2 linked regions of the Drosophila melanogaster genome follow. The protein of the gene in region 2 interacts with the protein of the main gene of each other region in a pairwise test. Each region holds a gene or a part of one and is shown on either strand. Other genes may lie near its edges. The genes, in order: Nrx-1 and Ephrin.

The links.
Region 1: the proteins of Ephrin (region 2) and Nrx-1 interact in a two-hybrid assay, tested with the Drosophila melanogaster proteins (one study listed by BioGRID).

Annotation. Positions count from the first base shown.
Region 1 is NT_033777.3:22,467,499-22,472,777, forward strand, and holds the start of Nrx-1 (neurexin 1), read left to right. Parts: upstream 1-1,979; 5' UTR 1,980-2,986; coding exon 2,987-3,892; intron 3,893-4,020; coding exon 4,021-4,497; intron 4,498-4,562; coding exon 4,563-4,874; intron 4,875-4,938; coding exon 4,939-5,055; intron 5,056-5,110; coding exon 5,111-5,279. Other genes in the region: CG5377 (uncharacterized protein), read right to left, coding at 1-484. UniProt on the Drosophila melanogaster protein: Neuronal cell adhesion protein involved in synapse formation, development of synaptic active zones, synaptic regulation and visual function. Plays a role in cell adhesion between the pre- and the postsynaptic cell.
Region 2 is NC_004353.4:569,915-574,757, reverse strand, and holds the start of Ephrin (ephrin), read right to left. Parts: upstream 3,004-4,843; 5' UTR 2,587-3,003; intron 1,146-2,586; 5' UTR 1,010-1,145; coding exon 330-1,009; intron 1-329. Other genes in the region: ND-49 (NADH dehydrogenase (ubiquinone) 49 kDa subunit), read left to right, coding at 4,063-4,154, 4,225-4,349, 4,415-4,524, 4,582-4,783.

The sequences.
Region 1 (5,279 bases), on a different chromosome or scaffold from region 2:
TCTTAAGAGCCTTGACTTCGTCAGCGTTCAAGTAGGCACCTGCTCCCCAGATTGCTAGGCGATCCACAGCTTCCGCATGGCGACCTGCGACTATGAGCGCCGTGATGCCCCCATCGCTCCAGCCCAAAATGGAGAAGCGTGGTCTGTCCAGGGCACGCATCAAATCCACGGCTGCCTGGGCATCCTCCCGAAAGAATTCAAGGCCGAACTTGCGCTGCGGCGGCACTGATTTGCCATAACCCGGCGGATCCCAGGCGATGATGGTGTGACCCGGCAGCAGTTTCGGCAGCTGCTCGATCTGGGGCCTAAAGTCGGTCCACGAGGAACCCAGTGCTCCCGGCATCAGGAGTAGACTCCGCTCCCCACTGCCGCTCTCCACAATGTTCAAATCTGAGCCATTCACACGAACTTTCCGCTCCGTGTGCAGCAAGCGCCTGGTGATCGGGGAACGGGCACCCACAAGCCGGCACAGATTGCCCAGCATTACGTAAGCGGGATCTAACGGGGATTTTGGAGTATGGCAACAAACTTAGCTGCTTCTCAAGGGCTCTTCAGATGTCCAGAGAGGAATATTTGGCAAATTCTAATCTTTACACACGACGCCTTGTAAAGTGCACTTGATAAAGATCCGTTGATAACAGCTGATTGATAAGAACAGCTGTAAGTAAACGATCGAATTAGTGTGGCTGTAGGTGCGATGATGCCATATACCGTTAAATCAAAAGTAAATATACCAAAAAACTAATTTTAAAAGAATCGTTAATTTTTTAATAATTTGAAAAATATTTTCATATTGATATTTAGGCATTGGGTGATGCACTTGCATTTTTAAGAATGTTCCTGAAATTTAAAAGATTTTTCCATTCATTTTGAAGAATATTACTTGACAATGCCGAACTCTCCACAGATTTTAAAATAATGGTAGTTTAAAAGCCCTTGAAAGTTCAAGAGCTGCCGCTCAGTTTGATTTTAAGCTTTTCGCTCTTCCCCCAGCTTTTGGCATTCCCAATCTTAGTCCTTGTTAGTCCACTTGAACGTCACGACTCCGAAGGACAATGGACAGCACGTGCTGGCATTTGTTTAGCCTTTAGCGTGCGTTAAAATATTATTAAAAACCGTAAGTGCTTAATAGCAGGATCCTGGTCCCTGCTGTAATGGTCAGTGCGTGATTCGTGTGCTCAAATTAATGTGTTCGCCTGGACTGCGACGACGATTAATGGAGGCGACGGCCTTGCAATTGCTCTCCTAGGACGAAGGAGCAGGGTGATGGGATTTGACAGAGGCAGGACATACACCCACAATCGAGAGTAAGGGACATCACATTCCACTGCCAATGCAAATGCAAATCGAATTCGACTCCGAGATGTCGAAGTTGCGTAGTAAATGTCAAGGAATTTACACGGGTCGTCTCGGAGATAGTGAGCCCGGGGGGGTGTCAGCTTGAGTTGGTGTGTGTGAGTGTGCGTGCGGCCACAGGACACCCACGCACACAGCTGAACATGCATATGTGTGTATCCATGTGAATGTGGCATCTAATACGCTTTAGTGGTGCAGGTTATGAACCTGCGTGCTATTCGCTTATTACGCATGTGTGAGTGGGCAGCTGGTGTCTATGTGTGCGTTTGTGTGTTAGTAGTACACATATGCATGCCTCGTGCGAAGTAAGCGAGCTTTTAATTTTTGGCATTCCCACACACTACACTCAAAGCGTGCGGTGCTTTCCTTTTCCGTAGCACACTTTTTCGGGTAAATCAACAAAGTACCAATATAAACCATTAAATTCAAGATTTCCAGTAATTCTGAACGATTTTAACTTGTCTAAATGTAAAATCAGTAGTGTGAGGTACAAACTCCTTTGTCCAGTTCGATTGTAGTGCCATTTTCGAGTCGCCTAGACCGCACCAGTGGCTTTTTGTGAATAAGCTGGCGGAGCTTTCGTTATCCATTGGAAACAGTGCGAAGAAATTAAGTTTGAAATTGCAGTTCAGTCTTGTCGTGGATGCAGCGCGGATCGATATCGGAGCTAAAAGCAGCGGAAGGCGCTGCTAAGCAAATTTCGACACACAACATTTTTGTATCCCTCGAAATTGAACCGAAAAATCTGCAAAAATAAATTCAACCAACCAACAAAAACGAAAAGGACGCGTCGCGCTAAAATCCAGCCCGAAAAGTTACATAAAGCAGGAGCGACAAGAATATCGTGCAAATTCAAAGGAATAATTGTGTAATTGAAAAATCTGTGTGCAGTCTCTGCAACTAATTTCGTATCCAATCAATAGTTCAATCAATACGCATAAATAACTGATTGCTGTGGAATCAACCGCAGTAAAGCGCCCATTTTAGGGGCACTTGCTGTGAGGTGCTTAGAAAAATTTTCGCCTACATTTGCGATATGCAGTGAAAATTTTTTCCGATTTTTAGTATGTACATGTACGATGGAGCGCTCGTGGGCGCCACAAACTGCGGTGGCAGGGGTATCCGGCGAGCTTTTGGCCCAACCATAACCCCCAGTATTACTAATACAGCCGACTCGGTCGGAGAAACGGTTGTCTGACAAAGTATCGATGCAAAATATGCGCCGTTTTGAATTTAATTGCCAAAAATTATGCAAATCAAGTATACAAAATGCCGAAAACTGAAGGTGCTGAACATTAAGGACCAAAAAAATCAGGCGAAATCATAAGCAATAATCGGTGCAGTGCCGTTAACAGTCGACGTGTACCGTTAACATCCGCAGCCAACTTCGCGTGGCCGAGCTTTCGCTCTCGCGCGCTCTTACGCTCTCTCTTGGCAGGCGCGGATAAAACGGATTGCCGAGTAACACCAACACAAGGACACGCGAAAAGCTCGCGCTCAAGGACTGGAATACGCGACAGAAACACAGCGAGTGAGAGAGAGAGAGAGGGAGAAGGACACTTTACGTTTACGCGCGCAACGTGCGTAGGTGCCTCTGTGTGGGTAAGCCCGAGTGCCACCGTGCGTGTGAATGAAGGCGCCACATAGTGCAACATATCAGGATAACTATGCTGATGCGGCCATGACAGCCAGGACACGGCCAAGCATGGACATGGATCAGCAGCGAAATCGAAATCAGGCGGAGCTGAGGCTCCTGCCCGCCCAGCGCACCTCCACCTCCGCCTTTGAATCCCCCGACTTGCGGTTCAACAAGGCTCGCCGCCGGCGGAGAAGCGAGCAAGTGCCTCCCGTGGTCGTGGAATACCGTCGCTCCTACCGCGTGCTCATCGTCAGCGCCCTGCTGGTCAGTCTGGCGGCCAGTTTCGTGACGCTCAGCGCCGGATTCCAGCTAGATGGATCGCAAAACTCCTTCTACACCTTCCGCAAGTGGTACACCGGACTGAATGGGACCCTCGAACTGGAGTTCAAAACGGAACAGCCCAACGGATTGGTTCTCTACACCGACGACGGCGGCACCTACGACTTCTTCGAACTGAAGCTGGTGGAAGGAGCACTGCGGCTGAGATATAACCTTGGTGGCGGAGCTCAAATCATCACCGTGGGTCGGGAACTGCACGACGGCCACTGGCACAAGGTGCAGGTCCTGCGGAACGATGAGCAGACATCGCTCATCGTGGACGGCGTCTCCCAGCAGCGATCGACCAAGGGGAAGGAGTTCCAGTTCGGCAAGTTCGCGAGCAACTCGGACGTCTATGTGGGCGGTATGCCCAACTGGTACAGCAGCAAGCTGGCCCTGCTCGCCCTGCCATCCGTTATCTTCGAACCGCGTTTCCGTGGCGCCATCCGCAATCTGGTCTACGCGGACCAGCCGGGCGGCTCCACCAGGCGCCAGGAGATCAAGCAGCAGCGCGACATCAAGTGCGGCGATGTGCCCTGCGATCACGGAGAGCTGCCCGCCCGTGAAAGGCCGCTCAGGGTGAGTCCATTAGTCATTGATATACACAATACAACTTTTTATATTCTATTTAAATGATATTGATAATAAGAAAAAAGCCTCTATTTATATGTATCCCTGATTTGGTAAATAATCCTTTAATCCTGCAGGGTGTTCGGGGTGGCAACACAACCGATGCCTGTGAACGGAATGATCCTTGCCAGCACGGCGGCATCTGCATATCCACTGATTCCGGTCCAATTTGCGAGTGTCGAAACCTCGAGTACGATGGCCAGTATTGTGAGAAGGAGAAGGCGCCATCGGAAGCAACGTTCCGCGGTACACAGTTCCTCTCCTACGACTTGGGCCAGACGGGCGCCGAGCCGATAGTGAGCGCCCAGGATGCCATATCCTTCTATTTTCGCACCCGCCAGCCGAACGGTCTGCTTTTCTACACTGGCCACGGCACGGACTATCTAAATCTGGCGCTGCGTGATGGAGGCGTCTCCCTGACCATGGGTCTGGCTAATGGCAAGCAGGAGATGCACATAAAGCCCTCAAAGGTGCGCTTCGACGACCACCAGTGGCACAAAGTCACCGTGCACCGTCGCATTCAGGAGATCTCCTCCATAACCAGCTTCTGTCGGGTGGGTAACTGTTCATAGATTTTCTTGGTTCTTTATTCGAAATGGAGTTTTTTTTATCCCTGTAGCTGGTTACCGTGGTGGATGATGTCTATACGGATCACTCCCACATTGCTGGCAAGTTCACCATGCTCTCCTCCTCGCGGGTTTACGTTGGTGGTGCTGTTAATCCTCGAGCGCTTTTGGGTGCCCGTGTGCACACTAACTTCGTGGGCTGCCTGCGCAAGGTGGAGTTCTCAGCGGATACGCTTAATCTGAACCTCATAGACCTGGCCAAGAGCGGTTCCAAGCTGATCCAGGTTGCTGGCAATCTGGAATATCAGTGCCCCAGTGGCGATCCACAGGATCCCGTGACCTTCACCACTCGCGAATCGCATTTGGTAAGTTGAAACCTGTATGAAAATACGAAAAGTAATGAATTAATATTTGATTGTTATTTTAAAGGTCCTTCCTCCCTGGGAAACTGGCAAGCAGAGTTCTATAAGCTTCAAATTTCGCACCAAAGAACCGAATGGCATCATTGTCCTGGCCACAGGATCCAAGCAACCACGGGCCAAAAACGTGAGTCTACTCATTAGGTTATCTTGAGCCATTTTGCATAATTTGAATCCATCAGCCCGTTTTGATTGCCATTGAGCTGCTGAATGGGCACATCTACATCCATTTGGACCTCGGATCCGGAGCCTCCAAGGTGCGAGCCTCGCGACGTCGCGTGGACGATGGCGACTGGCATGACCTGATTCTTCGGCGGAATGGACGCGACGCCAAGGTGAGCGTGGATGGGG
Region 2 (4,843 bases):
ATGACAATAGTTATTCTATCGAAAATGACTCATGTGCATTACTAATTGCTGGGAAAGTTTATAAAAGCCCAGCGTGTTTATACGCGACATTAGGGATTAATTTATCAATATATTATTGGCCAGCAGTCTTATTATTGGAAAGAAAATTTTATTTGAAATAACAAATCCCCTAAACGAATAATAATAATCCTCATACTACTGACTTAAAAACTGTAATAATTGTAATAAAACATAATACATTTGTAGAGAAAAATAAAAATCTACAATTTTTAACTTCAATAAAATTATAATACCGCTGCTTAAGTATACCACTATATTTGAGTACTTACATACTGTTCGATGTGTTCCAATGCATGTAAAAAGTCTTGGCGCAACTAGACATGGTGGAGAGCAAAACAGTTTCCATACAAATTAAAGTGAGCAACGTAACAAAGGATGTGGCACCAAACTTTGGAAATGGAATCATCATTTTGCATCTCATTGGCGATGGCTGAGGCGAAGATAACAAACAGTTTCTGTTCTTAATCCTCTTTTTACCAACAAAATGCCGTGATGCCTTTGATTCTATCCCTGCTTCCACCAGTACTGATGAATGCTTCTCGGGTGGTTGTCTTTTACTCGGTGAATAAAGCGGCTTGAGATTGTTAAAACCTTGAAACTTGCTTTTGCTCTTAGACTTTCGATGCATAGCTGGTTGCTGTTTATTCGTTGTCGTAAGCGCCTTATGTCGAATTTTTGGGATACTCTCAATACTTCCTGGCACGTACAGCTTAATGCTTAAAGGTTTTCCAGAGTATAGCTGAACTTTATGTTTCTCCTTTTGTTGCTGATGCCGGTGAGATTTGCAATTGGGGAAAGCTACTGGTGGATGTGAGTCTTCAAGCACTTTACTGGTAGTTAAGCGCCTCTTACATGCCAACATGCTCCGACGTTGACAACTGTCATGAATCTGAGACTTTGACTGGGTCCAGGAAACAGTAAGACGCAGTTGCTTTGATCGTTCTTGCATACCGCCAGCAATGTTTTCGATGTTAGATCGTTAGTAGCTTTCTTGCTAAATGCATACAATAAACCTCCGAAATAAGAATATGTTGACTGGCTACATCTACATCTGTGTCATTCCGCACCAAAGTGTCTTGCTCCATCTGCAATCAATAAAATAACAATTTTTACAACAAAACGCTGTAGCCGTGTACGAATTCTGGGCATAAAAAAAAAACACTGAAACTGCAGTGTAACTTGTAACATGATTTTCTCACTTTGGACGGTATAGTTACGAAGCGCACCAACAGACTAAAGACTACTATGCGGTTTGGTTGTTTACTTTACCCTTTAAAAGATTTCTTATAAATGAGTAAATTATATGTAGTGCGTTATAAAGTCAGGTGCAATTTAATTTTTGATGACAATAGTTAAATAATACAACTTTTGTGCATATATATCACTATATAAATATATATGCATATATAGGAACAATCCGAAAAAATTAAATTGAAAAGGCCGTTAAATTATTGTTTCTTTTTCATCTGTGATTTAGGTCTAGTATTCTTTTTAACGTAGACTTAGTTTTCACCTCTTCAAGATTAAATTTTGATACTGAAAATGAAATTGATATAATACCTAGGGTTCTTAGAAAATTTAACCCGACTTTTTTAGAGCGGAATTATACTTTTCAATTTATCTCGTCAAAAAGTTTACTAGGCAGTTAAAAAAGAAACAATACTTTAACGGCATTCTTTTTCGACCCGTATATGTATATGAACTACAAAATAAAAGGATTTCAACCTTCAATTCGAAGGTCGTTTGGCAAACGGAAAGAAAGACAAAAAATATATCGACATGGCTGTGTAAACTGATCAAGAATATGTGTTCTTCTATTGACATTTCCTCCTTTACTTCGTTGACAATCCTGACTGAAATTAGTTTACCCATTGCAAAATCTAACTACATATTATATCTACTCATTCTAAGCTTTGAGATCATTACGCGTTAACATTTTAATGTAACAGTAGCATATTATGCGTATTTATATTTTTATGTAAAGTTTATACAAGTTGATCTTTAAAACAAACAGCCTAAGACTGAGGGATCCTGTTTGCGCCGCGTTCGGCGGCAGTCGGCGAAATAAGCAGCTGTTAATGCTGATCAACAATATTTATATGTTGACTACCGCCACCTGACAGATTACGAGATTTTTAAAAGTACTTCGCTTTAACTTTGGAAACCGCCTAATTGATTTGATTCGACCCTGATTGATCAAAAATACTTATTTAACAGGCCGGCAAACCAATTATCAATTTAAGTGGGATACTACATTTTAATACATGTATGGTACATTTTCTATACAAACAGGGTTGGTAATGGCTTGGCGAAATATTAATATATTTTTTAACATTCATAGTCATAAACAATCAACATGGCATAAGATCAACAATATATAGCGGATCTGCAGTTCTTGACATTCAATTTATAACGGAACAATCAATATATTTCTTAAAAATTGTATGTTTAAGTGATAAAACATCCCAACAGCATTATACAATTACATATGTATGTATACACCAAAAGACATTTCTGTATACATACACAGTGACGACACACTCTCCGAGGAGACAGAAGAAACTCTATATATACACAAACATCTTACTCTCGGGGAAACATTCTTATTCGATACGATTAACAATCCGGTACAAATATGTTGGTATAACATAGTTGACATATAAAAACACAAAATATACATATATGCCCATAACACCGTCTTCCTTTTTTGGTACATCTTTTTCAAAATTACATTTTCACATGATTAAAAATTGTTCCAAACAGGTTTTTGTCTGAAGAGAAATACTCGAAAACAGCTCATTTAAATTAGTTTTTTCTACACTTGGACTACATACAAGAATTATTTATATAAATACTGTAGAGCTAGAGCTATAAAAAAAACTTGTTTAGAGCTGGAACAAAAAACGATGTTTACTTTAACTTTCGATGTATAAAGAAACTTAAGGGCATCGATAATTTTACAAATCAATCGATAGCGATTTTTTTCCAAAGGCCCGTATAATCTTATAATATAAGTCAAATGGTTTGGTTTTTTTTTTTTTTTTTGAATTTAACATATGCGAATTTCTACTATAAGTAATATTCACAGTAAAAACCATACCATATTGATAGGAAACTGTCTTATAAAGATTTTATTTGACATTTGTTGTAGCAGAACCATTATGTAAGTTCCTAGTAAATTTTTTAGCTAGGCTTAAGCACTATTTTATGTTTTAAGAATAATTTTATAATTATTAAAATTTATCTATTACCCGTGTCGAACCTATTTTGATTGGTGTAAGAAGTTTGAAACCCAGTGAAAGAGTTAAGAATTTGAAGTAAATATATATATGGTCAGTATCAAGAGCCGAGTCAGCACTACCGTCTGTCCGATCATCCGTTTTTACGTTACTATCTCTTAGCACCGGTTCTTGACTGCATAAAATTTTTGTTCAAGTTAAAAGAGTTTTCATAATTTTGTTTTCTTAAGTTTAGTCATCGGACGAAAAGTCCAGAAATCAATTGTTAATTAAAGAATTTAAATAGTTTCGTTGTTTTTAGTCATTAAATGTCCACATTCGCTCTGCTGAGATACTGCTAAGATATATAAGTTTAGCCTTGCAGAAGCTATCATTATTATCTCTAGTAATTATATTTTTATAGTGCTCCATTAACGCAAAATTCGCTTCATTGGGATGATGTAAAATTCAGGTCTTCGAAAAATTAATTGCAATTATTGTTTATAACATTATATAAAGATAAATAAAAACTTGGGTAAACGAGCAGGATGACAAAGTGTGTAATATATATAAGGGAATTTATGTGTTTTGCACTTCATTTTCATGAAGCAACAACCTGCGATATATTATTGGTGTAAATAGTATATAAGCTGTACGAGATTCGGTGTTTAAAGTAATTTTCGATATTTTTTGGATAGAATTCCGATTGCGGATAACTATTTGGTTGTATTAGATTCCTGAATTGTTACTAAAGAAACATAAATAGAGGAATTTGACTATCAGGATGGCCAATATAATGAGAAGAACGTTGATTCCTGGACTTTCACACTTGAGGCTGCGGCCACAACTTGTTGCAGCTGGATCGGCCGCGTTAACGTAAATAGTAAATGCTTACATAATTCGAATATATCATTTATATTTGTCCAATTGGAAACTCGTTGTTTAGTTCTCAGGAGACGCGACGGGGAGCAGCCAAGTGGTATCCAGACCCTGAGTTCATGAAGCAGTTTAGCGGCCCGGTGATGTATCCAGACGAGGTCACATCACTTTGGACAGTGCCACCATGGAACAGTTAGTTGGTAACCCAATATTAAACTGACCCTTGAACTAATCGCTTGACTTACCTCCTCTACTAGGCAAAGTAACGCCTGTCGAAAAGTCGGTGCGTAATCTGACCTTGAACTTCGGCCCACAACATCCCGCCGCCCACGGAGTCCTTCGTCTTGTGCTGGAGCTGGATGGAGAGGTTTAAGCTGTTAATCGACCACAGGTCTTGTGTAAATTAAAACCTCTGTTATTGCAGACCGTTATGCGTGCCGATCCGCATATTGGGCTGCTGCACCGTGGGACCGAAAAGCTCATAGAGTACAAGACATACACCCAGGCATTGCCGTATTTTGACCGGCTGGACTACGTCTCGATGATGTGCAACGAGCAATGCTACTCTCTGGCTGTAGAAAAACTCCTTAATATTGATGTGCCTCTCCGTGCTAAGTACATTCGAAGTAAGAATACAAAGTAATTTTCTCTTGCTCTTGACTTTGTAGTCATTAAGAAGATTTCAA